Macaca mulatta: one gene and its partners. Each later gene encodes a partner of the first gene's protein in a complex. Links are inferred from orthologs where the notes say so. Each region holds a gene or a part of one and is shown on either strand. Other genes may lie near its edges.

What was found.
Region 2: TADA2A (region 1) and TAF12 share a complex: the UniProt entries of both Homo sapiens proteins name them as parts of the PCAF complex. The link is inferred for Macaca mulatta from reciprocal best matches to the Homo sapiens genes TADA2A and TAF12.
Region 3: TADA2A (region 1) and MBIP share a complex: the UniProt entries of both Homo sapiens proteins name them as parts of the ADA2A-containing complex. The link is inferred for Macaca mulatta from reciprocal best matches to the Homo sapiens genes TADA2A and MBIP.
Region 4: TADA2A (region 1) and KAT14 share a complex: the UniProt entries of both Homo sapiens proteins name them as parts of the ADA2A-containing complex. The link is inferred for Macaca mulatta from reciprocal best matches to the Homo sapiens genes TADA2A and KAT14.
Region 5: TADA2A (region 1) and KAT2A share a complex: the UniProt entries of both Homo sapiens proteins name them as parts of the ADA2A-containing complex. The link is inferred for Macaca mulatta from reciprocal best matches to the Homo sapiens genes TADA2A and KAT2A.
Region 6: TADA2A (region 1) and TADA3 share a complex: the UniProt entries of both Homo sapiens proteins name them as parts of the ADA2A-containing complex. The link is inferred for Macaca mulatta from reciprocal best matches to the Homo sapiens genes TADA2A and TADA3.
Region 7: TADA2A (region 1) and SGF29 share a complex: the UniProt entries of both Homo sapiens proteins name them as parts of the ADA2A-containing complex. The link is inferred for Macaca mulatta from reciprocal best matches to the Homo sapiens genes TADA2A and SGF29.

What each region holds. Positions count from the first base shown.
Region 1 is NC_133421.1:46,862,495-46,867,217, reverse strand, and holds the start of TADA2A (transcriptional adapter 2-alpha), read left to right. Parts: upstream 1-1,727; 5' UTR 1,728-1,791; intron 1,792-4,723. Other genes in the region: ACACA (acetyl-CoA carboxylase 1 precursor), read right to left, coding at 1,102-1,139. UniProt on the Homo sapiens protein: Component of the ATAC complex, a complex with histone acetyltransferase activity on histones H3 and H4. Required for the function of some acidic activation domains, which activate transcription from a distant site. Binds double-stranded DNA.
Region 2 is NC_133406.1:212,257,455-212,262,201, forward strand, and holds the start of TAF12 (transcription initiation factor TFIID subunit 12), read left to right. Parts: upstream 1-1,768; 5' UTR 1,769-3,583; intron 3,584-4,747. UniProt on the Homo sapiens protein: The TFIID basal transcription factor complex plays a major role in the initiation of RNA polymerase II (Pol II)-dependent transcription.
Region 3 is NC_133412.1:109,438,952-109,443,529, reverse strand, and holds the start of MBIP (MAP3K12-binding inhibitory protein 1), read left to right. Parts: upstream 1-1,565; 5' UTR 1,566-1,708; coding exon 1,709-1,837; intron 1,838-4,578. UniProt on the Homo sapiens protein: Inhibits the MAP3K12 activity to induce the activation of the JNK/SAPK pathway. Component of the ATAC complex, a complex with histone acetyltransferase activity on histones H3 and H4.
Region 4 is NC_133415.1:65,817,440-65,821,401, reverse strand, and holds part of KAT14 (cysteine-rich protein 2-binding protein), read left to right. Parts: intron 1-576; coding exon 577-752; intron 753-2,065; coding exon 2,066-2,256; intron 2,257-3,962. UniProt on the Homo sapiens protein: Component of the ATAC complex, a complex with histone acetyltransferase activity on histones H3 and H4. May function as a scaffold for the ATAC complex to promote ATAC complex stability. Has also weak histone acetyltransferase activity toward histone H4.
Region 5 is NC_133421.1:66,453,569-66,457,427, forward strand, and holds part of KAT2A (histone acetyltransferase KAT2A), read right to left. Parts: intron 3,849-3,859; coding exon 3,742-3,848; intron 3,377-3,741; coding exon 3,266-3,376; intron 3,173-3,265; coding exon 3,036-3,172; intron 2,955-3,035; coding exon 2,746-2,954; intron 2,520-2,745; coding exon 2,393-2,519; intron 1,231-2,392; coding exon 1,120-1,230; intron 1-1,119. UniProt on the Homo sapiens protein: Protein lysine acyltransferase that can act as a acetyltransferase, glutaryltransferase, succinyltransferase or malonyltransferase, depending on the context.
Region 6 is NC_133407.1:148,576,064-148,580,763, reverse strand, and holds the start of TADA3 (transcriptional adapter 3), read left to right. Parts: upstream 1-1,759; 5' UTR 1,760-2,007; intron 2,008-2,725; 5' UTR 2,726-2,752; coding exon 2,753-2,959; intron 2,960-4,259; coding exon 4,260-4,510; intron 4,511-4,608; coding exon 4,609-4,700. Other genes in the region: ARPC4 (actin-related protein 2/3 complex subunit 4), read right to left, coding at 1,042-1,209. UniProt on the Homo sapiens protein: Functions as a component of the PCAF complex. The PCAF complex is capable of efficiently acetylating histones in a nucleosomal context. The PCAF complex could be considered as the human version of the yeast SAGA complex.
Region 7 is NC_133425.1:28,316,547-28,319,525, forward strand, and holds the end of SGF29 (SAGA-associated factor 29), read left to right. Parts: intron 1-270; exon of another isoform or gene 271-674; coding exon 675-804; exon of another isoform or gene 805-874; coding exon 875-1,021; exon of another isoform or gene 1,022-1,219; coding exon 1,220-1,255; exon of another isoform or gene 1,256-1,361; coding exon 1,362-1,524; exon of another isoform or gene 1,525-2,169; coding exon 2,170-2,286; 3' UTR 2,287-2,370; downstream 2,371-2,979. Other genes in the region: sulfotransferase 1A1, read right to left, coding at 2,489-2,519, 2,614-2,722, 2,845-2,979. UniProt on the Homo sapiens protein: Chromatin reader component of some histone acetyltransferase (HAT) SAGA-type complexes like the TFTC-HAT, ATAC or STAGA complexes.

The DNA of each region.
Region 1 (4,723 bases):
TTTCCTCCAGACGAGGTCTCACTCTGTTGCCCAGGCTGGAGTAAAGTGGCACAATCACGTGTCACTATAGCCTCAACTGTCTAAGCTCAAGTAATTCTCTCACCTCAGCCTCCCAAGTAGCTGGGACCACAGGCGTGTGCTACCATGCCCAGTTAATTTTTCGATTTTTTTGTAGAGTCGGACTCTCACTATGTTACCCAGTTTAGTCTTGAACTCCTGAGCTCAAGCAATTTTCCCACCTAGGACTCTCAAAGTGTTGAGATTACAGGCATGAGCCACCGCACCAGGCCAGAAACTCTACTTTTGATTCTAACCATAGCAGCTTAGCAGCTGAAGACAAACTGCTGGGATATTTTGGTCTCAGTTAATGGCAGCCAGGTTACCTAGCTTGACAAGATGCAAGTTTTCTTCGTTGGGTTCCTAGTACAAAAGTCAACCTTTTCAGTTAGTTAAGAATGAAAGGGCATGAAGATTGTGCTATTAGTTTATCCTGAAGGTCAATCTTCAAAAATACTGGTTCAACATGGATTTGGATATTATTAATATAAATTTACAGCTTAAAGAGGAAAAAAGGTGGTTTCTCAGGTTCCTTTACAGAGATATTTAGTGAGGGAATAAGGCACTTAGTCATCTTTGCTATGACAGGTTAAATACAAGATCCGGCCACTGCACTCCAGCCTGGGCGACAGAGCCAGACTCCGTCTCAAAAAAAAAAAAAAAAATGAACTTGTATTATGCATATACCAAAAAAGAACGAAAGGGTTCACACAGGCATAAAGTGTAAGTGGATTCTAAAAATGGCTGGGCAAATTTATCAAAGGCAGACTTCTAAATAGATGTAACAGTTACATACTTGAGATAAACCATGGTTTGATTTCCCTTCCCCAGTACTTCCTAGCAGTGTGATTCCAAGTTATATGTCAGTGCCTAGATTTCTTCACCTGGAAAATGGGGATAACAACAGGTGCCTACCTCACAAGTTTTAAATGAGACCATATGTGTAACCTGCTTTGTGCAACGTCTGGCATGCAACAAGTACTCGACAAATGGTAGCTATTAGAATCATCATTAGCAGCAGTAATAAGAGATGTTGGGACATACCTAGCCCTCAAGATTGACATCAGAGTAGACCACCACATCCTCTCATCATCGCGCCTCAATTTGGGCCTCTGAAGCCCAAAGAGGGGATGGTTCTTTCCAAAGAAGACAATTTCGACGTTCCAGAAGCATCTGATTGAAACGCACCCTCTTCACCCCTTAAAAATCAGTCTGGTTCATCCACGAGCAGCCCTTCAGGGCCCGGACTGGAGAGGCAGCCACGGCTCGCCGTCCCTGGGCCCAGTTCCCTCAGCCTCAATTTCCCTTGCTGCAACAGGGGTGGGGGTGGGAACGTTATCCCCAAACCCAGGCAGTCCCGGCTTGGCCCGCCTCACCGCACTCCGGAGGGGACCAAACGGCCCCACGCGCTGGGAAGCCTCCGGCAACGGGCCACGCGCCACACGGACAAAGTGATTACTTGGCGGATCAAAAGTCAGGCAAGCGGCTTAGCCCCATCCTCCCAGTCCTCAGGCACAGGGACAGCGACGGGCGACGGGCGGTGGCCGGGAAAAGGCCAAGGGGGCGGCGGCTGGCGCTCAGCACCCGCTGGGGGCCTCCACAGCCGAGGGGCGGAGGCGGCGGGCGCGCGGCACGAAGCGCGTTCGCCACTGCGCCGCCCGGGGGCGCGCACGCAAAGCCCGGAGGCGCGCGCGACCGGCGGCTCCTTGGCGCGGATTAGGGGGACTCGGCGAGGTGAGGCGCCAGGCAGCGCTGGGCTGGCGGGTGGCGGGGAGCGAGCCCCTCTAGCGGGACTACGGGGAAGCGGGGGCCGCGAGGTGCGCCAGGGGAGGAGGCGCGGGCTGCGGGCCTCAACGGCGGGCGGGACGCGCCGGGCTGGCGGGCGGGTGGTGCCGGGCCTCGCCGCGCTGTGGGGGAGGGCGGCGCGGGACCCGGCCTGACCCCTGGTGCCCGCCCCGCGTCTGGGCGGTGCCGCAGTGCCCCAGCCTCGCCATTCCACGCTCAGCCCTGGAGCCCGTGGCTCTACCAAGGACGGCCACTGTGCGTGATGCCCCTGACCAGACCATTTGAATTTCTTAGCAGGCCCTCCAAAGTAGGTATTTCAGTACCCTGTTAGAGCCGAGGCGCAGGTAAAATGACTGGCCCAGGCCGGTCCCACCTCGTAAGGATTTGAACGTTGGCTCCACACCTCCGGAGCCTGCGCCTTTTCTCCTCCCCACGTGGACTTCTGCCCGGCATAGTGTCTCACTTCACCCGGTAACTGATTCGAATTTGGCGATTGTTAGTTTGGAGCTGGCTCCTGTGCTTCCACGGAAGTTGGTGTCAGAATGTGGTCTCTTGTGAAAGGAGGAGAAAGAAGGTTCTGCAGACTGCAATATTGTGCTTTTTTTGCTTTTTTTTTTTTTTTTATTTTCTCCTAGGCTGTAGTGCAGTGCAGTGGCACGATTTCAACTCACTGCAACCTCCGCCTCCCAGGCTCAAGCGATTCTCGTGCCACCACGCCCAGCTAATTTTTGTATTTTTAGTAGAGGTGGGGTTTCACCATGTTGGCCAGGCTGGTCTCCAACTCGTGACCTTAAGTGATCCTTCCGCCTTGGCTTCCCAAAGTGCTGGGATTGCAGGTGTGAGCCACCGCGCGCGGCCCTACAATTTTTTTTTTTTTTTTTTTTTTTTGAAACGGAGTCTCGCTCTGTCACCCAGGCTGGAGTGCAGTGGCCGGATCTCAGCTCACTGCAAGCTCCGCCTCCCGGGTTCACGCCATTCTCCTGCCTCAGCCTCCCGAGTAGCTGGGACTACAGGCGCCTGCCACCTCGCCCGGCTAAGTTTTTGTATTTTTAGTAGAGACGGGGTTTCACTGTGTTAGCCAGGATGGTTTCGATCTCCTGACCTCGTGATCCGCCCGTCCCAAAGTGCTGGGATTACAGGCTTGAGCCACCGCGCCCGGCCTTTTTTTTTTTTTTTTTTTTTTTTTTGAGACGGAGTCTCGCTCTGTCGCCCGGGCTGGAGTACAGTGGCCGGATTTCAGCTCACTGCAAGTTCCGCCTCCCGGAGTTCCGCCTCCCGGGTTTACGCCATTCTCCTGCCTCAGCCTCCCGAGTAGCTGGGATTACAGGCGCCCGCAACCACGCCTGGCTATTTTTTGTTTTTGTTTTTGTTTTTGTTTTTGTTTGAGACGGAGTCTTGCTCTGTCTCCCAGGCTGGAGTGCAGTGGCGCAATCTCGGCTCACTGCAAGCTCCGCCTCCTGGGTTCACGCCATTCTCCTGCCTCAGCCTCCTGAGTAGCTGGGACTACAGGCGCCCGCCACCACGCCCGGCTAATTTTTTGTATTTTTAGTAGAGACAGGATTTCACCGTGTTAGCAGGATGGTCTCAATCTCCTGACCTCATGATCCACCCGCCTTGGCCTCCCAAAGTGCTGGGATTACAGGCCTGAGCCACCGCACCCGGCCTATTTTTTATATTTTTAGTAGAGCCGGGGTTTCGCTGTGTTGGCCAGGCTGCTCTTGAACTCTTGACCTCAGGTGATCTGCCCATCTGGGACTCCCAGAGTACTGGGATTACAGGCATAAGCCACCGCGCCCGGCCTCCTGCTGTGCTGTTTTGAGTGTTGATCAGTCCATATTGACTGCATCCTTTACTGGACATCTGTTTTTTTTTGAAACGGAGTTTTGCACTTTGCAACCTGAGTTGCTTAGGCTGGAGTGCAGCGACGCGTTCTCGGCTCGCAGCAACCTCTGCCTCCCGGGTTCAAGCAGTTCTCTTGCCTCAGCTTCCCAAGTACCTGTGATTACAGGCATGTGCCACCACGCCCAGCTAATTTTGTATTTTTAGTAGAGACAGGGTTTCTCCGTGTTGGTCAGGCTGATCTGGAACTCCCGACTTCAGATGATCTGCCGCCTTGGCCTCCTAAAGTGCTGCAATTACAGGCGTGAGCCACCACTACCAGCCTTGACATCTGTGTTTGAAATGACACTGCTATCCCTTGTAAGACACTGCACAAGTAACATACTCTTTCAGAGCTTGCTTGCTTTTGAAAAAGCAGCTTGCCTCAGGAGTGTGGGAGTGAGGATTCAAAGAATCCCCACACCGAGGTACCCGCGGGTACCTAGCAAATGGAAAAAGTTCAGTAAATTTGGCTGTTATTTGATTGCTGCATTCATAATACACCCTTGCTAGAGTCATTTTTCTTCAGAGCTCAACTTTTCCTGAGACAACAGCAAAGGAGACCTACCGCACCCCAAAAAGGAAAAGTTCTTTGACGGCAGCGTTAGTGGAATGTTGCCCACACTTAGTGATGAATTATTCTCCAAGCTAAAAATTACCAGGGTGAAAAAAATCACTTCAGAAAAACTAAAGATGAATTAACCTTTTGTAGAACTAACATTTATTGGTCCACTACTATGTGTTTATTGTATTCCTCCTGTATGCTTGGCATTTTAAAAGAATGCAAATATGTATCCGATATATTCTCTGCTTTCACTTATTTATTTATTATTTATTTTTGAGACAGGATCTTCCACTGTAGCCCAGGCTGGAGTGCAGTGGCACAATCTTGGCTCTCTGCAACCTCCACCTGCCGGGTTCAAGCAACTCTCATGCCTCAGCCTCCCGAGTAGCTGGGATTATAGGCACCCGCCACCACGTCAAGCTAATTTTTTAGAGATGG
Region 2 (4,747 bases), on another chromosome or scaffold:
CACATAGCAAAAGGTTTGTCACACAATGAGACTCAATAAACACTTGTTGAATGAACGTATATACATTCAACCTGGGTCTTAAAAAAGATGTATAGGCGTTCAACAACAAAAAGTGGTATGCCAGACCCTAAAAAGAATGGAGAGCAGTGGCAAAGAAATAAGGCTAGGAATACAGCTTGGAGCCCAATGTTCATGAGGACTTGAATCTGAGAATTTGGATTGGGTGGCAGTGTAGAGGGTGGATTGGGAAGGTGGTAGGATGAGGATTAGGAAGATATAAAGACAGGGCAGGATGCTGCACCAATCTGGGCACCTTTCCTAATTTCTGCTGGCAGATACTGTGGCTCACACTGGCCTGTCACAGCTTTTTTTTTTTTTGAGATGGAGTCTCGCTCTGTAGCCCAGGCTGGAGTGCAGTGGCCGGATCTCAGCTCACTGCAAGCTCCGCCTCCCGGGTTTATGCCATTCTCCTGCCTCAGCCTCCCGAGTAGCTGGGATTACAGGCGCCCACCACCTCGCCCGGCTAGTTTTTTTTAATGTATTTTTAGTAGAGACGGGGTTTCACCGTGTTCGCCAGGATGGTCTCAATCTCCTGACCTTGTGATCCGCCCGTCTCGGCCTCCCAAAGTGCTGGGATTACAGGCTTGAGCCACCGCGCCCGGCCCACAGCTCTTTATACATTTTTTGGTGTGTTTGTGGGTTCTTCTCCATTTTACTGTGAACCTTACAGATGCTGGAACTGGGTCTGACTTGCATACCTAACATTCCAGCATACAGTAAAAAATAACAGTTCTCTCTTTTTTTTTTTGAGACAGAGTCTCGCTCTGTCACCCAGGCCGGAGTGCAGTGGCGCGATCTCGGCTCACTGCAACCTCCGCCCCTCCAGGTTTAAGCAGTTCTCTGCTTCAACCTCCGGAGTAGCGATTACAGACGCGTGCCACCACGCCCGGCTAATTGTTTTGTATTTTTAGTAGAGACGGGGTTTCACCATCTTGGCAAGGCTGGTCTTGAACTCCTGACCTCGTGATCCACCCGCCTCGGCCTCCCAAAGTGCTGGGATCACAGGCGTGAGCCACATAAAAGCAATTCTCACCAAGCATTTGACAGCAAAAAACTGTCCTGTAGAGAATGCTACAGGACAGGCTTTGGCTTAGTAGTGAGGTCTGAGTTCAAGCTGAGGCTCTGCACTTATTAGCTAGAATTTTGCTTAATCTCTCACAGGTCTCCTCTAACTGATTAAATGGCGTAACGGAGGTAAGCGGATTAGCACAATTCCTGGCAAACAGTCAGCAGTCAATTGTTATTACTGAATTGCCAGTTCACAGGCACAACCAACCGATCTGTCTCATCTCCCGGTTCCTGTGTTGCCAACTTCCTCGTTGAGGTTCAACAGGATACCTGTGGGGTAATGTGTCCCAGATGATATCCTGGTCCTGACACCATGACAAAGGCACCAACCAAAAATGGCGACCTCAAAGCCATCCGAGGGCGTCAATTACCCGTCATGCTACCGATGGATAAATAAGCAGAGTCGGGAAGAAAAGCTAGTGAAGGATTCTTAACGCCGGGGTGGAATACGCAGAGCTCGCTCATGCTGCCACTCAACTACAAGCAGTTAAAAGCGCAAGCTGCAGGCTACAGCTACACACAGCTCAAGATCGCCACCACGTGTCGGAGGGCAGTCTGCGCCTGCGCAAGCGAGGCGCGCGCCCGCCGGCCGGAAGAGCCGCGCGTTTCCGGGTTGGAGGCGGGGAGCGGTGCCGGAAGTAGTCGGGGAGGGCCGCGCAGTCGGACCGGCTGCTGAGACGAACGCTTCTCTGGGGCAGTCTCCGCATATCATGGGGAGATAGACGCTGCTGCCTGTGAGTCTTGGGCCCTGGCAGTTGAGGAACAAGAGCGGGAGGAGGGAGTCAGGACCCAGATCTACAGTAGGTCAGTGTTCGAAGGACCAGGTTGTGGACGAGACGGGGCTGTGAGGATTCAGGCTCTTGGGAAGGGACTGACAGAGGATCAGGCTCGGAGAAGACGCGGCTGTGGGGACCTGGGCTCCAAGACGGGACTTAGGGAACGGGGACGGATCTGAGTTCTCCGGCATCTGAGGGAAAGTGGTCTGAGAGGAGCAGGATTATGAGGACCCGCACTCCTACGAGGAGAGGGTCGGAAAGGAACGGGGTGTGAAGACACGGGCTCCGGAGAGGTAAAAGTGGAGCGGTGAGGACTTGGGCTTCTAAGAGGCAGAAGCGGGACAGTGAAGACCCGGCCTCCTAAGGATTCAGAAACGGGGCAGCGAAGACTCAGGTTCCTGAGGGGCAGAAGCAGACAGAGAAAACTTGAGTTTGGAAGGGAACAGAAGCGGGCAGTGAAGACTGGGGCTTCTTTGGGGACGGGATCCGGGCTTTGAGACTCCGAGTACCTGAGTCTCAGAACAGGGCGGTGAGGACCCAAGCTCCTAAAAGCCTTGGATCTAAGGGACCATGGATGTGAGATCAGCCTAGAAAGTAAAGGGAAAGGGTTTGGAAAAGATTTAGTGATCCATTTTTTTTTCCACAGTATTCCCTGAACCCAGAGAGATAAAGGACGTATTCAGGGGAAGACAACTTCTCCTTCGCACTGCCTGCTTGGCTCTTGGCAGGCTTTTCTTGTGTTAGATACTCAATCTAGGAAGCCCACATGCAAACATCTTCATTTTCTGCTTCATTCTTGGGAATCAGATGTGAAGTTGAAAACAGTTGGAACTCAGTTATATACTTGATAAGTGCTTTAAATCCCATTCCACTCAACCCTGAATGAGCACAGATCTCTGCATCTCAAGTAAAAGAATGTCAGTGATGGAAGAGTCCCAAAAGATCATCTTTTAAAAACTCCTATTTTACATTTAAGGAGGCTAAGGTTCAAAGAGGTTTAGGATTACAGTGAGGCAATGGTTAGATCATAATTTTAATACAGTACCCTTCTGTGCGTAGCAAATGAGATGCTTGGTTAATGTTCCTTAAATGCTTCCAGAATCTTTGCTTTATCTTCAAACTCAGGAGGGAATTTTTTTTTTTTTTTTTTTTTTTTTTTTTTTTTTTTTGAGACAGGTTCTCTCTCTGTTGCCCAGGCTGAAGTGCAGTGGCTCAATCTTGGCACCATGCACGTCAACCTCCTAGGCTCAAGCAATCTTCCCACCTATATATACCTCCTGAGTAGCTGGAACTACAGGCATGTGCCTCCACACCCTGCTAATTTTTAAATTTTTTGTAGAAACAGGATCTCACTATGTTGCCCAGGCTGGTCTCAAACTCCTAGGCTCAAGTGATCCTCCCACCTTGGTCTCCCAGAGTGCTGGGATTGCAGGCATGAGTCACTTCCCCCCGCTTCCAGTTTTCTTTTTTTGAGACAGAGTCACCCAGGCTGGCGTGCAGTGGCACGATCTCAGCTCACTGCAATCTCTGCTTCCCCGGTTCAAACGATTCTCCTGCCTCAGCCTCTCAAGTAGCTGGAATTACAGGTGTGTGCTACAATGCCCAGCTAATTTTTGTATTTTTAGTAGAGACAGGGTTTTACCATGTTGGCCAGGCTGGTTTCGAACTCCTGACCTAAAGTGATCTGCCCACCTCAGCCTCCCGAAGTGCTGGGATTATAGACATGAGCCACCACGCCTGGCCCAGTTTTTATTTCCAGTAAAAACTGGAAATTTTTACAGTTTCTGATACTTTGAGTGTTATTACTGCATTGACATTGATACAGTAAATGTCACTTAATAGTAAGGAAACCTTTATTTTTATTTTTATATTTTTGAGACAGGGTCTTGTTTTGTTGCCCATATTGGAGTGCAGTGGCATCATCATAGCTCACTGCAACCTATATTCTTGAGCTCAAGCACTCCTCCTGCCTCAGCCTCCTGGGTAGCTGGGACTACAGGTATGAGCCACTACACCCAGCTAATTTTTAAGTTTTTTTGTAGAGACGGTGTTTGGCTGTGTTGCCTAGGCTGGTGTTGAATTCTTGTCCTCAAGTGATTCTCCCACCTTGATATCCCAGAATGTTGGGATTATAGGCATGAGCCACTGCACCTGGCTGGAACCTTTAAATAAAGCTCAGTGTTATTTATTTATTTATTTAATAAGCTGTTTGGAAAGCCATAAATAAGTGTGTCCTGCATTTTTAGTGCAAACATTTACTAGGGATGGCTGCTTTTGGATAAGAATGGTGGGGAGACTTGCACCAGTCACTTACTTCAATATTAGTATCTTTTTCTGAAACCTACTCAGACTAACCAGGCACAGCTTAGGTACTTTCGAGTATTCTATGATTTAATTATCACAGCCCCACAAGTTAGATATTGTCAGTCTCGTTGTACAGATAATGAAATAGGTTTAGAGAGGTTAAATACTTTGCCTGAAATCACACAGTACTGAGTGACCCAACCCCAGTTACGCGTGCCTCTAAAACTTTTTTCTTCTCTTCTAAGTGGATTCCTCTGTCTCAGTTTGTCCATCAGCAAAATAGAAGTAATCGTTATACAAAACATATAATTGAATGAAAGCATTCCCTCCTTCTTAAGGCTCCTCTAAATGTCAAGGACTATAACTTATTAGGGTACTTACGTATTGTGGCATTTGAGGAGAGCTAAATTCTGTTTTCACAGAAGCATAGATTATTTAAGATAGAAAAATGGGAACTTTGTAGAGCTTTTAATTGCAATGTAGAAAGACATATTTAATTTTAGATTTAGGAGGCCAAGAAGGACTAATTTGGACTGGGC
Region 3 (4,578 bases), on another chromosome or scaffold:
AGTGATGGCAAAGAAAGGAATGAGCAGCACCTTGTTAAAGACAACATTTTTTTTAATGTACAAAGCATATTCCCAAATGTGCTGCATATCAGTGTTCTCCATATTTGAAAAAATATGAAACACCTCAATGCAAACAAGTGATCTGAAACTGATTGCTAATTTGGTACAGAACAAAAACCTACAGTTACCCCATTACAATTATTCTCTATTAACAAGAGAACCAGAAGCAAACAAAACATGCTAACATGGCAAAGAATCATGAATTTAGGCTAGATATGGGGATGAGTGGCTTGAATAAGAAGGTTGCTCAATTTGAGATTGGACATTGCGAAGTATCTTTCTGGCTGTAGACATAGGCTGGAATATCAGTTGTATATCTTGCTGCCAACAAGGGAACAGAAAAGATTTTCCAAGATTCTGTCAAGCCTGGTGATCCCATTTGTCTTTGGAAATGAAAGCCTAATTAAGAGACTCCCTAGGGACAGGTCAAAGGAGTTCTTTTATCTCCATCGTCCTTATCCTAGTTCCTCGATGCGTTAGTCCTTCCCTTTAATGTAGTCTACCCTAAAACTAAAGAATACACATTGTGCAAGTTTCCACCTTTGCTTTCTCTACTGTAAATGCATTAGACTATTAACAGAATGAAGAGTTTTAAATCCCACCTTCCTTATCTCTCAGCTGATGTTTATTTCTTAAAGTGTTTTTGAATAAAATTTGACACTAAAAATTCTTGTAATACTTTTTAAAATTGGATAACACTTTTTAAAAATATTGGAGTCTGACTAAAAGATTACAAAACCCCACGAACATCTTTATAATAAAGCTATTATGATAAATAATACTTTGTAAAATTTCAATTCGGTTTTATGTCCTAATTTCAAAGATTGTGGTTGCATATTATTTATCCAGGTTAAATTCCTGTTGGATTATATTGACAGTGTTTCATTTCTTTGAAACAATTTTAGGGTTAAGAGTCTCTACAGTTATAATGGAGAATATCAACTGTAGTTTCAGTTACTCAGGAGGTTGAGGCAGGTTGAAACTGGGAGGCGGAGGTTGCAGTGAGCTGAGATGGCGCAACTGCACTCCAGTCTGGGCGACAGAGTGAGACTCTGCCTCCAAAACAACAACTTAAAACTTGAAGAGATGAAAATGTTCTATCCAACCATGACAATTCCGTGTGAGTTTTCCAGTGTTTAGAAACACTTGCGGGCACCACTCCATCCCTGACCAGCAAGCTTCCTCCAGAACCACTCCACACCGCCATGTTAAAATGTCAACTTTTAATTTGGGGACTCAAACTACAAAATTTAACTATGTCTCCTCTTACCAAGATTCACAGTGAACATCTGGGAGTCAAGGTAGGCTTCATAACGCTAAACAGACCACAACGCTAATAACCACCTCAAATATAGCCTTCCAGCCTAGCTTTGGTCTGCAATTTCCCACTTCAGAGCCTCGGCGTAATGTCGCAGTTGCAACTGATTGGTGTAACGTGCTTGTCAGTCACATAGAGAGGGTGGGGCCTCAAAGCCTGATCTAAACGAGACGCCGTGTCGTACGTCATCGCCAAGCGACTAAAGCTGGAAGGGAGGGAGCGGGGTTGTGAGCAAACGTTGGTGGTGGTGTTGGTGGTGGTGTTGGTGGTGGTGGTGGTGGTGGTGGTGGTGGTGGTGGTGGTGGTGGTGGGGCGGCCTGAAAAGGCATCATGGCTGCTGCCACGGAGCTTAGTCGCCCGAACAGCGGTGACAGGAGCCTGGAGCGAAGATGCAGCCCTAGCCTCTCCCGAGAGGTGCTCTACGAAATCTTTCGCTCCCTACAAACCCTGGTTGGACAGGTGAGAGGTGGCCGGAGGGACTGGGAATATGGAAGCCATCCGGCCCATCCCTCCATTCTTTTCTTCTAGCAGGGGCCGGGGGCAGCTAGGCCTGCTGAAGTGTGGGATGCCGTCCCTGAAGCCGAGGTCGGGGAGGAGCGCGGGCCCAGCCGCCTCGCTCGGAGTGAGGAGGACGGCGGTACCCGTAGCCGAGTAGTTTACCTTGCAGCTGTCCTCTCCAAGAGTGGGTGAGGTTGGTCTAAGTGAAAACCCGGCTCCGAAAGAGGCAGGCTTGGGGAGAATGAATGTGGAAAAGCTTCACTGCGAATTTAGGAGGCGCCTAGCGCTCAGGGTCCTTTTTCCTCCAACTTACTCTTTATGGGAATTGGTTGGTCAGTAGGCCTGAGATTTATAGAAAAGCGCGCGCTTATTAGCTTTTTCTTGGCCGGGGGGAAGGAGTAATTTGTTCTTATGAGTTACTTGGTTTTGTTTATTTCTTTTTTCCTTGGGGCTGTTTTGGGCATCTATAACCCTTTCAAATGGGGAGGAAAGTAAAAGGAATTCGTTTAAAATACTTCTAGCGTAAAGTTGGATGAGTTATCCATCGTTGATGCTGTTTGCGTTTAGAACTGTCGTTATTTAACTATTAACTAGTTTAACTGACTGATAAATCGCTTTTGCAGAAATGCCATAGTAAAATTGGTTTTGAATTTAGTGGGCTTCTTCGATCAAGTCACTGTTTCGTTTCACGGTGTAAAATTAAAAGCAAGTTTTAAATGAGAAACAATTTAAAAGTACGCTTGTTTACCTGCCTTTTAAAAGGAAATATTTTCTATCTTACATAGACCATTTTCTAGCCGTAAAAGTTTGTTTTGAGGCTGGCACTAGCGCATGTGGACACGGCAGGCATTTGTGTCAAAGATAATGGTAAATTCTTATGAAAATAGAACATTTGTCTGATTTGTGAAAATTATTTTTAAAGCCTTGAGTAGATGGAGAATCAGCTTTTTAAAAAGTTACTATTTTAAAAAATCATAGTGTGTTGTGTCTTACAAAGAACATTACTGTAAGTTAAACGGTTTTATGTAATGACGCAATTATTAATGGAGTCTGCTTAAAGATACAACTTTTAAATTCAGTTGTTTGCCAAGTGCTTACCGAAATCGTTTTTTAAAGGCTTGGGGTGTTTTGTTATATATTCCAGTCTTAAGACCCAAGACCTTTTAAATGGTTTAAAAGTTAGAGAACTTTTTATGGCGACGTTGGAACTTAAGTTTGTTTATTTTCTAATGTCAAGATGAAAAAAGTTTATGCTCACCTATTAACAGAAGATGGAATATTTTTTAAAAATACTGAGCAATGATTTAAACGTTTCTTTTGAAACATTTAGCATACTGAATTTTTCAAACTCATTAGAAAATTTTAAACATTCAAGTACTCTACAAGTAAAGAAGCGATTACAATTTATTTGTGTCACCTGTCAAAAATGTTGACAGTAAATATTTGGTTACTTTACCATGACACAGTGAAGGGACCTCCTATACAGGTGTCAAAAATATGATTGTTTCATCAGTTAAATGCAAACTGTTTTCATAATACTCTATATTTTGAGAAGTATTAAGAGTGAAAGCCAGAGTTCCACACTTGCAAAATTGCCCCCAGAGAAATCAGTATTTTCTTTTGCAACCACTTTAAAAGATTTCTAGAAGGTATGTTGTAACATGCCTAACTTCATCCTGTGTCATCCCTAAGTATCATTGTATTATTAGATCTCAGTAGGAAACATAAAACTGAATGTTAAAAAGAATTTTTTACTTAAGATCACAAAATTTACTAATTTTAACCTTTTTGCTTGCCTCTGGATGGTCCATCTTACCAAGCTAAACACTTACTTATTTTTAGCTTGGATTTTTGTATTAATTTAGTAAAGTGTTTACTGAAAATATTTATTTAAATAGTCTATATTAATAGCAGACTAATAGAGATTTTCGAGTGAATGGTTTACTCTTCCAAGTTCTGTAGGGCAAAATGCATAGAATTCATATTACTAATAATGAATTTGTTGAATGAATAGTTAGGTGTATTAGAATAGTTTTAAATTAATTTGTGACATTATTATGTGAGTTTCTTAAAAGACCAGTTATTCTTAATTGCACTTGAAGCTTATGTAATTCTGCTGAATTGAAATGACACTATGAACGAAACATTAAGACTTATTTTTCTATAAGTTATTTTCTCTAGAAAATGTGATACTTTGCTTTGGTTGAGGATTTGCCTGCTTTATCCCCAAGCTGTATTCTTAAGTTTTCTGTGATCAACTGTAGATCTCTTTGAAGACTATGAAAGTACAATAATAGGTTACTTCCATACATAATACAGGTTGTTGTCTAACAAAATCTTTATAGGAATTAAAATAATGTAAATGAATGCATTCACTTTAACGTAAAATCTTAACATATTATAATCTTTGCCAGTGCAGCCTACATGAAATTTCATGTATCTTTACGCTTGTCTAATATGGACTTCTAAATGCTTCTGTTCTCATCTTCATTTCTGTCACAAAGTATTCAATATATTATCTTTTTATTGGTAACCTTACATCTTTTTGATCTTTGTACAGTGATTCATCTTTTTTATTATAATTATGACTAATAAAATCTGTATTTGAACTCATGTAACACCTTTATTTTGTAGAAAAGATGACTCATTTTGAATAAATTATGTTAAGTTGATTCCACTATGAAGTGTATTCTTATACTATG
Region 4 (3,962 bases), on another chromosome or scaffold:
CTCATTGTCCAGGCAATGAAATGGAAGCTGAGCTTGCTAGAGAGGTCCCAGCAGTGTCTGGCACTGTAAATGAGAGCACGTTATTGCACTCATTGCACTCCAACTGCCCTGCAGCTCCATGATCACCCTCACCCTCCATGCCAGCACCACATTCCTGGGCAGGCGCAGTGAGAAGCTGTTTATGAGCCTGCTCCAAGCTCACTTTGTCTCTGGTGTTCCCCAAATGCCCCACAAAGTTGAATGTTCCCTCTTCTGGCCTCCAAGGCACTGGAGATGCATCCTCATGTCTGACTCCTCGGGGTGAATCTGATGCTATTTCTGTTTCCTCACTTTGTTCATGAAGGCACCTGGCACAGTCCCTGGTGGGTACAGAGGGCTTTAGCCTGATGAATGTTCAGAGTGAATTTTAGGTTTCATACATAAAAGTATAGCTGTAATCAAGCCAGCTTCGTGTAAAACAGTGCAGGTTACTTTAAAGTTTCAAGCAGATCAAAGAGTTTACATGAGTCAAAAAGCTAGGAATAATACCAGGTATTTTTCTTGACTTGAATTTGTTTATCTTCTGTGGTACCGGAGGCGTGATTATGAAACAAAGCCACCCAAACTGCAGCTCCTGTCACAGATTCGTTCCCACCTGCACAGGAGCGACCCTCACTGGACGCCGGAGCCCGACGCGCCTCTCGATTACTGTTACGTGCGGCCAAATCACATCCCAACGATCAACTCCATGTGTCAGGAGTTTTTTTGGCCTGGTATGTTCCCTCTCCCAAACCAGGCGGGTCATTTTTCTGTACAGTCCATTCTAGCAATTTTTAAAATTAGTTTATGTGATAGCCTTAAGATTTTTATTTATGATTTCATTTAGTTTGTCTCTGCTAATATAGAAATACTAAAATACAAATACCTCTTATTTTCCTAAAATCTAGAAGAAGCCAGCAATAAACAGTGTTTTTGTTTGTTTCTCTTCCCTGTTTGTCTCTGCTTCCAGAGTAAAAGATTCATCCTGTTTTGCTTCTGCATATATTTAGATACCAGGTAATGTCTATCAAAGATACACAGACTGGTAGCTTGGGCGTGTTTGGACACTTTTGTTTTTGGCTTAATAATTCTTTATGTTTATTTAGCTGTTCCTTAGAGAGTGTTAGTACAGCCAGAAGGTGTTTTTTAAAAGCCAAATACCCTGATCACAGACTTTGAGAATAAGGGTAGGCCCAGTATAATTTGTCATTTTATCAGCCTTAACAAAATTGCCTCTGAAGACCAAAGTCATTAATTAAAGGAACACATTTTCATTGCTAAATATAAACTGTTCTTTGTGGATCTGCTTTCCCATGCTGCCTTGAAACCTAAAGGAAATAATACGTACCTTTCAGGTGTTAGATACGATTTCATCAAGATTAGAGCTGTGTCGTCTTTATTGTCACATAATCACATAACCGTGCATGTGGTGGCAGAGCTGCACTCACTCTTTTGGGAGTCATATTGAGCCAAAAGTAACATTCTGGGATCATCTTCTGCTTCCTGCCCTTATGTTAGGTGCCTTCCATACATTATGCATAGAACCATATTTTACTTATTTTTTGTGAAAGGTATCGTTTGTACAAAAGAGCTTATAAATTATATGTGTGTGGGGTAAAGGATGTGATAGAACACGCTCGGGGGGATCTTTATTCAACCCTGTCAGGTCTAGGTGTGCTCTTCATGTTACGCATTGCAGGAACGGAGTCTCTGAGACATTTTGAAATGTGCCAAGCCACACATGGTAGAGGAGGCTGAGTTCAAAGCCAGCTGTGTCCAATTCTGAACCTGTGCACTGCTACCTACCCTATTCTGCCACTCTTCTTTTAATATATGTACTTAGAAAATACTATGTTAATTTCAGTGTTTTCTAAAATTCATTCTTATTTTTATGATCTGGACGTGTGGTATCTATGTTACCTCCAGTTTTGGTGTTTTTTTTTTTTTTTTAGCATGCAGGTGTAGCCATATGTACATGCTGAACAGCTTGGTGTTCCTTAATTCTCAAAGGCATGTGGTTTGAGTCTCTGATGGTTTCTTTTCTTAGGCATTGACCTGTCTGAGTGTCTGCAGTACCCAGACTTCAGTGTTGTTGTTCTTTATAAGAAAGTCATCATTGCCTTTGGCTTCATGGTTCCCGACGTGAAATACAATGAAGCTTACATTTCATTTCTCTTTGTCCACCCTGAATGGAGAAGAGCAGGAATTGCAACTTTCATGATCTATCATCTGATTCAGGTAAGTTGTCTATGTTTATGATTTATCACCTGTGTCTGGGCTCCCCTGAACAACCTGGAGGAGGAATGAAGCTAAGCTAGCCCTTCCCAGCATGGCCCAATGGAATGGTTTCCTTGGAAACCAAGTGAAGAAAGCCAGTCAACAGCATTCATGAGGTTGTCAAAGCACACAGACAAAAATCTCCGACCCTGTAAAATAAGATTATTATTTAGACCCAGCTTTCATAGAAACCAGTTTGTGAACATGTGTAGTAAATAAAATGAGAAAACACCAAAAGCAAGAGCTTTAGGGTAGACTATTCATATTAGTAATAGCTACTGCTCTTAGGATCATCACCTTCGCAACTCAGAGAAGTGAGGGTAGGACTATTATTTTTATTTTTTAAAATATTTGTAAACATTTTAGCACAACTGTATCAATAAGAATTTATATATATATTTTGAGACACGGTCTCATTCTGTCACCCAGGCTGGAGTGGCACAATCATAGCTCACCGCAGCCTCAACCTCCTGGGCTCAAGTGATTTTCCCGCCTCAGCCTTCTGGGTAGCCAGGACCACAGGCGCACACTACCATGCCTGGCTGAGTTTTTGTAGGGACAGGGTCTCACTGTGTTGCCTGGTCTGTACTTGAACTCCTGGGTTCAAGCAATCCTCCCACCTCAGCCTCCCAAGTGCTAGGATTATGGGCATGAGCCACCACGCCTAGCTACATATTTTATTGCTGATAGTTTTTAATTTTACTATCACTGTATAAGGCTGATATGAACCTTCTAAGATTTGATTCTAGTATTGAATTATAATTCATCCTTTGATATATTTGTATCACCTTTGAAGAAAACACACCATACACCAACATCAAAAAACATGCAAGGATTTTTTTCCCCTAGAGTTTTTTTAGTTAACTTTTACTTAGAAACCGTTTGGTATGGAGGATTATATGTTATGCAGGCAAGATTCCTTTTAAAGAGGAGATGAAGATGATAAAAGTTGTTTCTCCAATTTTTAATGAAACTTGCTTAATAATTCCCAAATGTTGGCAGGAACCTTGAGAACCATTTTCCTAGAAATTGTTTTCCTTCTCTCCTTAGGCGGTGACTGTGTAAATCACTCACTGAGTAATTAATACGTGCTACTTTGGGTGGTGGTTTTCTCTTGAGAGTTTCTCAGTTATTTCTATAGCACTCCCTTTCTCTGCCGCATCCCACCCAAGAGTTGAGATCTCTCAGTATGCGTCTTTTTAACCTAGGAGAGCACTTAGAGGATTTGCTGCCTTATCTGTCACTGGTAAGGGCCTGAAGACAGGGCAGCAGTAGTACTTTGTCCTTGTGTGTGTGTGTCCTTGGTGCCCAGCATGAGGGCTGTACAGAGTCAGTCCCTGCTGAGTGTTTGCGAGGCCAGTGGAGGAGTGGTTCATCTTTGCAGGTGGGCATCTTCCCCTCCAGCCAGACCATACACCTGAGGGCCCAAACATAGGTGGCGCACAGTCGCTGATACTCAATGATGGCCACGGTGAGATCACGTATATTTGCAATCTTGCAAACACTAACATGACCCCTCAAAATTTGCTTTAAAAATTTACAAGGTGCTCTTGTCCCTGGCATACTAGTAAGTGCTCTCTTGACCTAAAAATTCCTATGGATACACATGGAAGTTAAGCAGAGAAAGCAGGTAGCTATCAGATGACGGTCAACAGAGGAGTTCTTAG
Region 5 (3,859 bases), about 20 Mb from region 1:
GCTCTGACTCCCCAGTTCCTCCGGCCTTCTCTACTGGCCCCCCAGTTCCTCCAGCCTGCTCTACTGGCCCCCCAATTCCTCCAGCCTGCTCTACTGGCCCCCCCAGTTCCTCCAGCCTGCTCTACTGGCCCCCAGTTCCTCCGGCCTTCTCTACTGGCCCCCCCAGTTCCTCCAGGCTGCTCTACTGGTCCCCCAGTTCCTCCAGGCTGCTCTACTGGCCCCCCAGTTCCTCCAGGCTGCTCTACTGGCCCCCCAGTTCCTCCGGCCTGCTCTACTGGCCCCCCAGTTCCTCCGGCCTGCTCTACTGGCCCCCCAGTTCCTCCGGCCTGCTCTACTGGCCCCCCAGTTCCTCCGGCCTGCTCTACTGGCCCCCCAGTTCCTCCAGCCTGCTCTGACTCCCCAGTTCCTCTGGCCTTCTCTACTGGCCCCCCAGTTCCTCCAGCCTGCTCTACTGGCCCCCCCAGTTCCTCCAGCCTGCTCTGGCTCCCCAGTTCCTCTGGCCTTCTCTACTGGCCCCCCAGTTCCTCCAGGCTGCTCTACTGGCCCCCCAGTTCCTCCAGCCTGCTCTACTGGCCCCCCCAGTTCCTCCGGCCTTCTCTACTGGCCCCCCAGTTCCTCCAGGCTGCTCTACTGGCCCCCCAGTTCCTCCAGGCTGCTCTACTGGCCCCCCAGTTCCTCCAGGCTGCTCTACTGGCCCCCCAGTTCCTCCGGCCTGCTCTACCAGCCCCCCAGTTCCAGCCTGCTCTACTGGCCCCCCAGTTCCTCCAGCCTGCTCTACTGGCCCCCCAGTTCCTCCAGCCTGCTCTACTGGCCCCCAGTTCCTCCGGCCTTCTCTACTGGTCCCCCAGTTCCTCCAGGCTGCTCTACTGGCCCCCCAATTCCTCCAGCCTGCTCTACTGGCCCCCCAGTTCCTCCAGCCTGCTCTACTGGCCCCATAGGCCCCCATTCTCCCCTGGGGCAGTGGCAGCAGAGGAAAGAAGATAGGCATGGAGACTTTCCTGGCAGGTGTCAGGTGAAGTAGGGGACATAAAGGGACTCCTACTCCATCCACAGAGGGGCTGGACAGAATGACCCCAGGCTTCAGGCAAAGGACCAGTGTGGGATAAGGCTACGGGTCACCTGCTTTTTGAAGTAGCCGATGGCATACTCGTCCGCGTAGGTGAGGAAGTAGAGAATGTTGTGCTTGATATGATACTCCTTCAGGTGGTTCATCAGGTGGGTCCCATAACCCTGTGGGGGAGGGGAGCAGGACTCACCAGGAGCTGAGGATGGGCCTGGTGCTGGAGAGGTCTCAGAGCCCAGAGTGGAGCGGGTGGATTGGAAAGGAGGTGGGGAGAGGGAGAGCATCCAGGCAAAGAGGAAGAAAGGCAGCTGACAGAGGGAGGGGAGTTTATGGGGGAAAGTGAAAGGTAGAGGCTTTCTAAGCTCACTCTGGGCCAGGTGCAGTGCTTCCTGTTTTACAGACCGATTCTCAACCCCAGAGGCGAGTAGTACCACCTCTATTTTAGAAAAGAGAAAACTGAAACAGCTATGTTAGGAAATGCGTTCAAGGTCAGGCTGCCAGCCGTGGCAGGGCCGGGTCCAAACCCAACACAGGCCAGCAATTCCCAGTCCCTGGGCCTCAGAGTTGGGAGAGGAGGGAGAGGGAGTCACCAGAGGCCTGAGCAGGAGCAATGGCTCCCACACATCAGGGCCAACGATGCGCCACGCAGATCTGAGGTATGTGACACACAGAGCCAGCGACCCTACGAGGGGGTCTGTTGTAACAAAGGACAGAAGCCAAGGCTATCAGCATAGGACTACTGTAATAACGGTTAGTTCGGCTGGTCACCGTGGCTCACACCTGTAATCCCAGCACTTTGGGAGGCCGAGGCAGGTGAATCACTTGAGGTCAGGAGTTGGAGACTAGCCTGGGCAACATGGTAAAACCCTGTCTCTGCTAAAACACAAAAGTTAGCCAGATGTAATGGCGCATGCCTGTAGTCCCAGCTACTTGGGAAGCCAAGGCACGAGAATCACTTGAGCCTGGGAGGTCAAGGCTGCAGTGAGTCCTGATCATGCCTCTGCACTCCGGCCTGGCTGAGAGAGACCCTGTTTCAAAAAATAAATAAAAAATAAAAATTAAAGTAATTAATTCCCCCATGTATGTAAATGTTCTTGTGATGAAGAAAATCCTAGTCCACAGGTCACCAAAGCGTGGCCGCTTCTTGGGCTCTGTCTGTGAACAGGTGGTTTCCTAATCCACAGTTATCAAAGTACGGCTGCCACCTTGTGGGGATGTGAGGAACGGGCCACTAAGAGAAGAGCCAGGGGCTGCTGCATCCCACACCTCCCGCTGCTCCGAGCTGGCCCAAACTCCGGAGCGAGCCGTGGGCTGGGGAGCGGCACTCACCTTGACCTGCTCATTCGAGGTGACAGCACAGAAGACAATCTCCGTGAAGCCCTGGGTGGGAAACATGCGGAAGCAGATGCCACCGATGACCCGCCCATCCTTGATCAAGGCCAGAGTCTTGTGCTTCCTAAGAGAGAGGTGGGCACGTCACAGCCCCTGCCTGTTTCCTTCAGGTCCCCAGAGCCCTGGAAGTCTGAACTGTAGTCAGGGTTGGGCAGTGAGAAATAAGAATGATCAAAGGTTGAACTTCAGAAGTGGGGAGCAGGGGATCTCCAATTTTGAGGAGTCAAGAGGCCGAGGAGGAAGGGACCCGGGGGTCCTGCCCTGGGGGAGGGGCTCTCTGGGGGACGCACGGGTCAAAGACGAGGCGGGCGATATACTCCTTAGGCATGCGTGGCAGCTGGTGGGAAAAGACATTCTGCAGCCCCACGAGCCACAGCAACACCCGCCGGTTGGCCTTGGGCGTCAGCGAGTTGCCAATGACGTGGAACTCAATGATGCCACGGCGCTCCTCCAGGCGGGCTGTCTCATCCCGGGCCGCATTGGCCGAAAGCAGGCTCGTCTGGGCACAGAAGAGGGGCGGTGAGCTGGGGTTTCAGGTTGGTGGGGGTCCCCCAACTGGTCAGCAGGTCGGGCTGCCCACCTCAGGCCCCAGCATGGCAGCAGGGTCAGTGATGGTCAGCATGACCTCATTGACTAGCTCCATGGGGATGTCGCCCATCACACGGAGCCTCTTGGCATCCTCCAGGGTCAGGTTCTCCGGGAGCTTCCTCTTCTCGCCTATTGGGGAGGCAGGCAAGGTTGGTCAGGATCAGTAAAAAAAGGTTTGGGAAGGAGTGAATGATGGTCAGAGGTCAGGGATCAAGTATCTACCTGGCATAGGCTCGGCCCCTGCAGAATCCAGACTCAGAGAGCTGTTGCTGCCTCCGCCCATGCTGGGGCTGAAGATGGGGGTGCTGGGAACAACTGCTGCACTGACCGAAGCTGAGGAGAGAGAGAGAGAGGTCAGGGACCGGGGGACTGAAGCTGAGACAGAGAGAGAGAGAAGTCAGGGACCGGGGGACTGAAGCTAAGGGGAGAGAGAGAGAGGTCAGGGACAAGGGGACTGAAGCTGAGGAGAGAGAGAGAGAAGTCAGGGACGGGGGGACTGAAGCTGAGGAGAGAGAGGGAGAGAAGTCAGGGACAAGGGAGACAGAGAGAGAGAGAAGTCAGGGACGGGAGGGCTGAAGCTGGTGGCAGGTCCCTCAGTGGGATCCAGGGCCTCTGGCCCAGCTGAGCCCTCTTCCACCCAGGAGGCTTAGCTCAGCCAGGCAGGCCAGACACCCTACAGAGCATACCATGGCACATACCTGGCCGGGGCACCAGCTGTGTCCCCTCTGAGGGTGGCATGGTGAAGCCTGACTCCCAGATTGGAGAGTTTGCCCCATAGATCTCCTCCTCCAGCATGGACAGGAATCTGTAGGGAGG
Region 6 (4,700 bases), on another chromosome or scaffold:
GGGATTACAAGCGCGAGCCACCGCGCCCAGCCTTTGGCAATAGTTATAGACAGTAAACCTAAAAAAGGTGACTGGCTCCGTGACGCCTGTCCTTTCATGAATAAAACAGACGTAGTCTCATACAATACCTCAAAAAACTTAAATTTTTAAAAATCAAGACGCATGTGCTCCATTAGAAAAAAAAAATCCAGATTTCTAGCAGGGATACGAGTTCACAAAGTTTGCCAGGATAGGGAACTCAGGAGGAAGAGCAAATTTAGAATGGAAGATGAGTTTTGAACTAGAGGTGTAATTTCAAGGTCTCTTCAAGATACCCAGGCAAACCTTCAAAGAGAGCTGAGAAGCCAGATTAGGAGTCATCAGAGTGAAGAAAGTCATCGAAGCCAGCAGACTAGATCGGTATCACCAGGGAAGGTGTGACGATGAGGGAGGTGGTCATCCAAAGTCACAACTCCCAAGAATACCCACATGTATGAAAAAGGGAGGACTTTCAGGAAGGGAGGGATGAGCAGTATCACAGCTAACAAACACTAGGGCTGACACAGTTCAGTTCTGACCAGGAGGGGCCTGAATGGAAGCAACACGAGAGATCCTCCAGTGGGGTGGAAGCAGGGCTGGAGGTACCAAGAGTGGGATAAGGAAGTGTGGCCGCCTGCCTTAAGCAACTGTAGGGTCAGGAAGGCAGAAGACAAAGGGCGTATTTAGTGAAGCTCTACTGTGGACAGGCAGATGGACCCGCTACATGCCTCAGCGGCCCTTCGACGGGCTAAGAGGCCGACTACGTACCCTCGAAACGCTCCAAAGAGCCTAGGAAGCCCCACTTCCAGCTTCCTCCAGGGCTCAGTAAAAGCCCCTACCTGCTTGGAAGGCTGATCACGAAGCCGCAAGGCCCGCTTCAAACCAGGGAGTACCCCTACTCGCCCCTTCCTCACCTCGGGCCCCCGCCCTCTTTCTCCCACCCTCATGGTGTCCCCACAACCCCCGGGCATCCCTCAGCCCCGCGCCCCTGCGGCAAAGCCACATCTCCCACCGACCCACTGCCCTGAGGCTGAACAGCTGGGGGTCCCTGGCCGGGGGCCCGGCTCTCTCACCATCGCGGGCGCTGGCTGGGCCGGAAAGCGGAAGTACGGAAGTGGCCAGCCCCGCGATGCCTGCCCTTTCGCGAGAAGCGCAGCCTCTGTCTCCGCCCGGACTTCCGGATGGTACCATCTATGCTCTGAGCGGGATAGGGAACCCTTGCGAACGCTTGGCCCTTCCGGAAGTTTTCCACCTAGGGCTGTCTCGGTATCTTTAAACTCTTGCACTCGAGTCACTACTTAAGCTTCTCCAGGAATGGGAGCAGCTCCCCTTTGTGCCTTCGGCCTTCTTGTTACCTTTGCCACAGCCTCCCCCCAGGTATGCAATGGTACAGCCCAGCTTCAGATTGGGCACCAAATTAGGACAAGCTGAAGCGGAGGAGCCCTTCGTTTCTTCCGGTTCTGTGCCCCCATCCTTTCTCTCGCCCCTCCTACCCGCAGCTCCTGGGGCTCAGCGGCGCTAACTGCAGCGCCGAGATCTCCGCCGCCAAGCCCCGCCTCCCGCCTCCCGCCCCGGGCTATGCCCTGGGGCGCGCCTGAGGCCAACCACCCGCACCCCACCTCTAGCGGGCTTGCTCGAGGCCCACCTTCTCCCCACCCCCGGCAAACTTCAGTAGGCTCGCCCTCGCTGACTCCCCGCCCCCGCGTCAACTGCAAGGGGCCCGCCCATAGCCAGTTCCGGGGCGGTTGCTCCCGTCGACCGGAACTCCCCGCCCCCTCCCGCGGCCCTGGGGCCGTAGGAGGCCGCAGTGAGGAGGTAGAGGGGGCGGGGGTCGCGCTAGGGTGTCCCTAGAGAACGAGGACTCTGAAGGCGGGACATTTGGACGACCCCCGGGCGGGGCCAGCCATTAAATAGTCCCATTTCTGTGCCAGACACTGAACTGGGCTCTTGACGGGCATCATCTCTTAATCCTCAGAACATCCCAGGGAGGTAGGTACCGTTGTTATCCCCATTTTTCAGATTCAGACTTTTAATGGGGAAACAGACCGAGACTTCTTTTGTTCCCATTTTACAGATGGAAAAACTGAGACTCAAAAAGGTTAAACAACATGTTCGGGGCACATAAGTAGAGAATGGTAAAGCCTGGACTTGAACCCGGGTCTGTCTGGCTTACCAGCCCACGTTCTAAACCACTATTAGTGACTAGAGAAGGGAGAAAGGTGGAGTAGGATAAGAAAAGAGGCCAAGAGTCCCAGAGAACATGGTAAGAATGGGGTGCTTGGAACTCAAAGTCTTAGCAGAACCCAAGAGAAATAGAAGGGAAGGAAAGAGCATCAGAAAGGCAAGGCAATGCATAGTAATATAGCATGGTGATCAGGGGTGCAGACTCAATATAGCGGGGTTCAAATTGCATCTTGGAAGCATAGGCACATACCCACCCTTACAGAGTCTCAGTTTCTTTCTCTGTAAAGAGATCACAACGGTCCTTGTTCATGGTGCTGAGTGAGAAATTAAGTGAGATAAGCTGATAAAGTGCTTTGCGCCTAGCTTGGTACACAGTTAAGTGCCCTGTGAGTAGGAACTGTGCCATCAATTTTGTCAGTAAGGGACTGAAGCCTGGCTTGCTTGAGACTGTCCCTGGAGGTAAGAAGCCCTTGGGCTTTTCTCAGACCCCTTTGTCTCCCATCAATGGCCCTGTCCTCTCCAGCCCCACAGGATCCCCATATCCTGGGCCATGAGTGAGTTGAAAGACTGCCCCTTGCAGTTCCATGACTTCAAGTCTGTGGATCACCTGAAGGTCTGTCCCCGCTACACGGCAGTGCTGGCGCGATCCGAGGATGATGGCATCGGCATCGAGGAGCTGGACACCCTGCAGCTGGAGCTTGAGACCCTGCTGTCTTCTGCCAGCCGGCGCCTGCGTGTGCTTGAGGCCGAAACCCAGGTGATACCCCAGAGAGGGGCCATCACCAGAGATGGACTGCAACAAGTTATGGGATGGGTCATTGAGTTAGCTCCATATGCTGAAACCTGGGATACAGGGGTTTATGGGGAGAGGGAGAGAGACCCAAACTGGGTTTGCATGACACAAAAAATACACAAGAATATGCATGATCCTCTTAAATTGCAAGATTTCTAATTCGGTACACTTTTTTTGGCATCCCCCCACCCATCCCCCATTATGTTCTGGGTTCTACGCTAGTCATTAGAGAAAGGTAATTAGGACAGTTTTGGCTGTCAAGGAGCTTGCCAACTAGGAAAGGGAGAAAGTCAGGTGCATACCAGGTGATGTGATGTTGTGGTTAGGAGTCCTAGGGAACTGGAATGGGGAGACCTGGATTTGAATCCTGGCATAAGCACTTGCTAGCATTGCTGTTTCCTAGCTATATGACTTTGAGAAAGTTTTCTCATATCTCCGAGTATCAGTTTCCCTATCTGCAAAGTGGGGTGAATAATAGGACCTACCTTAGTGCTTTTGTGAGGATTAAAAGAGAATTTTTGCAAAAACTCAACCCAGTGCCAGACACTAAGTAAGCACTTCAGGTGTTATTTATTTACTACTCTGATTACTTTATTCACTGCATAAAGATGCCTTCAGCCTTGTGTGCCAGGCGCTATGCTGTATGCTGCAAAATAGAGATAGTTAAGGTATGCTTTCTGGTCTTCAGTAGCTTATGGTCTAGTTGAAGAAACAAGGTGCGATGGTCATTCCAGTGTGACCAAACAGCATGATTGGGTGCACGGTGGAGGTGTGAAGTGCCAGAGACTTGTAGAGGAAGGAGGTGCCAACTGGACCTAAAAGGATGAATGGAATTAACTTGTCCCTGGGAATCCATGGAAGCTCCTTGAGGAAGGTTATGACTCAAGTTGTATTTTAGCATCTAAGAACCTGGGTAACTGATTCAGAGAAGGCATCTCAGTGGTGGTGACATTGAAGTGAAGGTTTGCTGGGAGGACTCTTCTGTTAAACAATATGTGACTGGCATGGGTGATAAAGAAGTGAATCAAAAGCACAGATGAACAAGTGAATGAGAGGATGAGAAGTATATGAATAAAGTCGTAAGAGGCCAGGCACAGAAAATGAGCTGAATTTTGAAGGATGAGTAAGAGTTTACTAGGTAAAAAGAGGATGGGGAAAGACCCAGGAGACTCCTTAGATTCTAGATCCTAATTTATTCACTAGAGGAAAGAAATATTCTTTGTTTTCCCTTCTCTCCCTCAGTGACAATTTCTGTACATTTCAGATCCTCACCGACTGGCAGGATAAAAAAGGTGACCGACGATTCCTGAAGCTGGGTCGAGACCATGAACTTGGAGCTCCCCCGAAACATGGAAAGCCCAAGAAGCAGAAACTGGAAGGGAAGGCGGGACATGGGCCGGGCCCTGGCCCAGGACGGCCCAAATCCAAAAACCTTCAGCCCAAGATCCAGGAATATGAATTCACTGATGACCCTATCGACGTGCCACGGATCCCCAAAAATGATGCCCCCAACAGGTTCTGGGCTAGAGAACATAGAAGGGGGCCTCAAGGTTCTGGTGGTGGAGGCGCTGGTGGGGCAGGGGTACCCACTGAGGATCTGCTTCTCCCTGCAGGTTCTGGGCTTCAGTGGAGCCCTACTGTGCTGACATCACCAGCGAGGAGGTCCGCACACTTGAGGAGCTACTGAAGCCCCCAGAAGATGAGG
Region 7 (2,979 bases), on another chromosome or scaffold:
ATTCTGTCGCCCAGGCTGGAATGCAGTGGCTGGATCTCAGCTCACTGCAAGCTCCACCTCCCGGGTTTATGCCATTCTCCTGCCTCAGCCTCCCGAGTAGCTGGGACTACAGGCGCCCACCACCACGCCCGGCTAGTTTTTTTGTATTTTTTAGTAGAGACGGGGTTTTACCATGTTAACCAGGATGGTCTCGATCTCCTGACCTTGTGATCCGCCCGTCTCGGCCTCCCAAAGTGCTGGGATTACAGACTTGAGCCACCGCGCCCGGCCTGTTGTGTTCTTTTTAACTTTTTATTGAATTACAACGTATATTAATAGGAGAAAAGTACATGTAAGTGCAGAGTTCAATGACATATTCACTAACTAAACACACTTCTGTAACCAGCATTCAGATCAGCAAACACAGCCTGAACAGCACCTCGGAAACTGCTTTCTTTCTTCTGCTTCCTCCCCCTGGGTGTGCGCTGTGCTGCCCTCTCACTCAACTGTGGTTCAGCGCAGCAGCCCCTATAGGTGTTGACACATGGCCGATAGGGTCACAGTCCTGCTGGGCCCTCGGGCTCACTCAGGAACTGGGCGCTCCCAGGGGGTCCTCCAACAGCTCAGTGCAGCATGCTGGGGGGTCAGGGCCAGCACCTGTCCCTGGGGCCTCAGGCCTCCCTTCCTTCCCACAGCGGCCAAGATCGCAGGTCTCTACAATGACTCGGAGCCACCCCGGAAGACCATGCGCAGAGGGGTGCTGATGACCCTGCTGCAGCAGTCGGCCATGACCCTGCCCCTGTGGATCGGGAAGCCCGGTGACAAGTGAGGGCAGCAGCTGCGAGGGAGGGGCTGGTGCCCAGGGGCTGGGACTGACCCTTTGTTCTGCTCACAGGCCCCCACCCCTCTGTGGGGCCATCCCCGCCTCAGGGGACTATGTGGCCAGACCTGGAGACAAGGTGGCTGCCCGGGTGAAGGCCGTGGATGGGGACGAGCAGTGGATCCTGGCCGAGGTGGTCAGTTACAGCCATGCCACCAACAAGTGAGTGACACCAGCCCCGGGGCTGCTTTCTGGTCACCGAACTTGCCTGGGCTGCCGCTCTGCTTCCCGTCTGCACAGCAGGAGAAAAGCTCCCCAGAGGCCAACTGTGCAAGGAGCACCAGGTCCTCCCCCATCCTCACTCCCCGACAGGGACTGCACCCCTGGCTGCATCCAGCGTTTTCCTCCTTTTGTCCACAGGTATGAGGTAGACGACATCGATGAAGAAGGCAAAGAGTGAGTGTCTAGGCCAGGGCAGGGCACGGAGCCTGGGGGCAGCCTAACGTCTGGGAAGGAGCATCCCCACCTGGCCACATGTTGATATAAGCCCCTCTTCTCCCAGGAGACACACCCTGAGCCGGCGCCGTGTCATCCCGCTGCCCCAGTGGAAGGCCAACCCAGAGACGGACCCCGAGGCCTTGTTTCAGAAGGAGCAGCTCGTGCTGGCCTTATATCCCCAGACCACCTGCTTCTACCGTGCCCTGATCCACGCACCCCCACAGCGGGTAAACCAGCCTCCATGGGAGAGGCCATGGGTGATGTCAGGAACAGGCTGATCAGACAGACAAGGGGTCCTCTACCCCCTCCCTCCCCTTGTCCTTATCTCACAGGCTCCAAGCTGACAGCACCCACCAGCTGCCCTCCCTCTTCCACTCCAGCCCCAAAGGTCACCATCCCCTTGCAAGCCCTGGCAGTCTTGGCAAGCCCTGAGTCAGCAACTCCCTTTCTGCATTCCTAGGAGAACTAGCTCTGAGATGGGAAGCTCCTGCCCTGAGCCCCGGGCTCCTACCCCCTTATGCTCCTGGTGACATGGGACACAAGCCACCTGAGGCTAGGATCCCTACCTGCCACCATCTGGGTTGCCCTGGGTCCCTGAAAGGCAGCAGACCCTCCAGCTATGGCCCCATTAGGAAGGGAGTCAGCGCCCCTTCCTCTCCCCACCCTTTTCACTGCCCTGGGTCTCCAGCCACTGAGAAAAGAGCTGTGTAGCAGCAGGGACCGGGCCAAGACATCTTGACCCCAGAGTGAAGGATGATGAGAGTGGCTGAGAGTCCACAGCCCAGAGGCTCCTGTGGTCTAGGCTGGGAGAAGGGGGTGCCTGTCCTGGCCTGGGGCTCTCTGAGCAGCCCTCCTGTCTGCCTGCCACACAGCCCCAGGATGACTACTCGGTCCTATTTGAAGACACCTCCTATGCAGACGGCTATTCCCCTCCCCTGAATGTGGCTCAGAGGTACGTGGTGGCTTGTAAGGAGCCCAAGAAAAAGTGACGCTGCCTGGTGGACTCACCATCCCCCAACGACACAGGGCAGGACAGCAGAGGATGTGCTGGGATTAAACAGACATTCCTCCTCCACTCGTCTCCTGGGTTTTACTTCTCCAGACCCTCTCCCCTCTCCAAATAGGGCAAGTTGGGGAGCTGGAGTGGGGAGGTGGCCGTATTTGGCCCCAGTGGGCGATCACTCTTTCAGCTCATGGTTTCTCTTGGCTTGAAATGGAGACTCTGCATTGAACACAAATCATACTTTATTCTTGAGCCGCTTGGTCAGGCTTGATTCGCACACTCCCTCAGCAGTGACCGCGGGAGCCCCTCTCACAGCTCAGAGCGGAAGCTGAGGCTGCAGCCTGCCATCTTCTCCGCATAGTCCGCATCGAAGCGCTCATTCTGCGCCACGGTGAAGGTGGTTTTCCAGTCCCCAGTCATTCCTGGAGGAGGAAGGCAGGGAGCAAAGCTGGAGTCTCATCCCAGGGGAGGCCCTGAGTGCCTATGGGGAGGCTCCAGCCGCTGCTCCCACCCGCCCCAAACCCCCGTGCTGGCCGGTACCCACCTTTCCTCATGAAGGGGGAGATGCTGTGGTCCATGAACTCCTGGGGGACGGTGGTGTAGTTGGTCATAGGGTTCTTCTTCATCTCCTTGAATGACGTGTGTTGAACCATGAGGTCCACGGTCTCCTCTGGCAGGG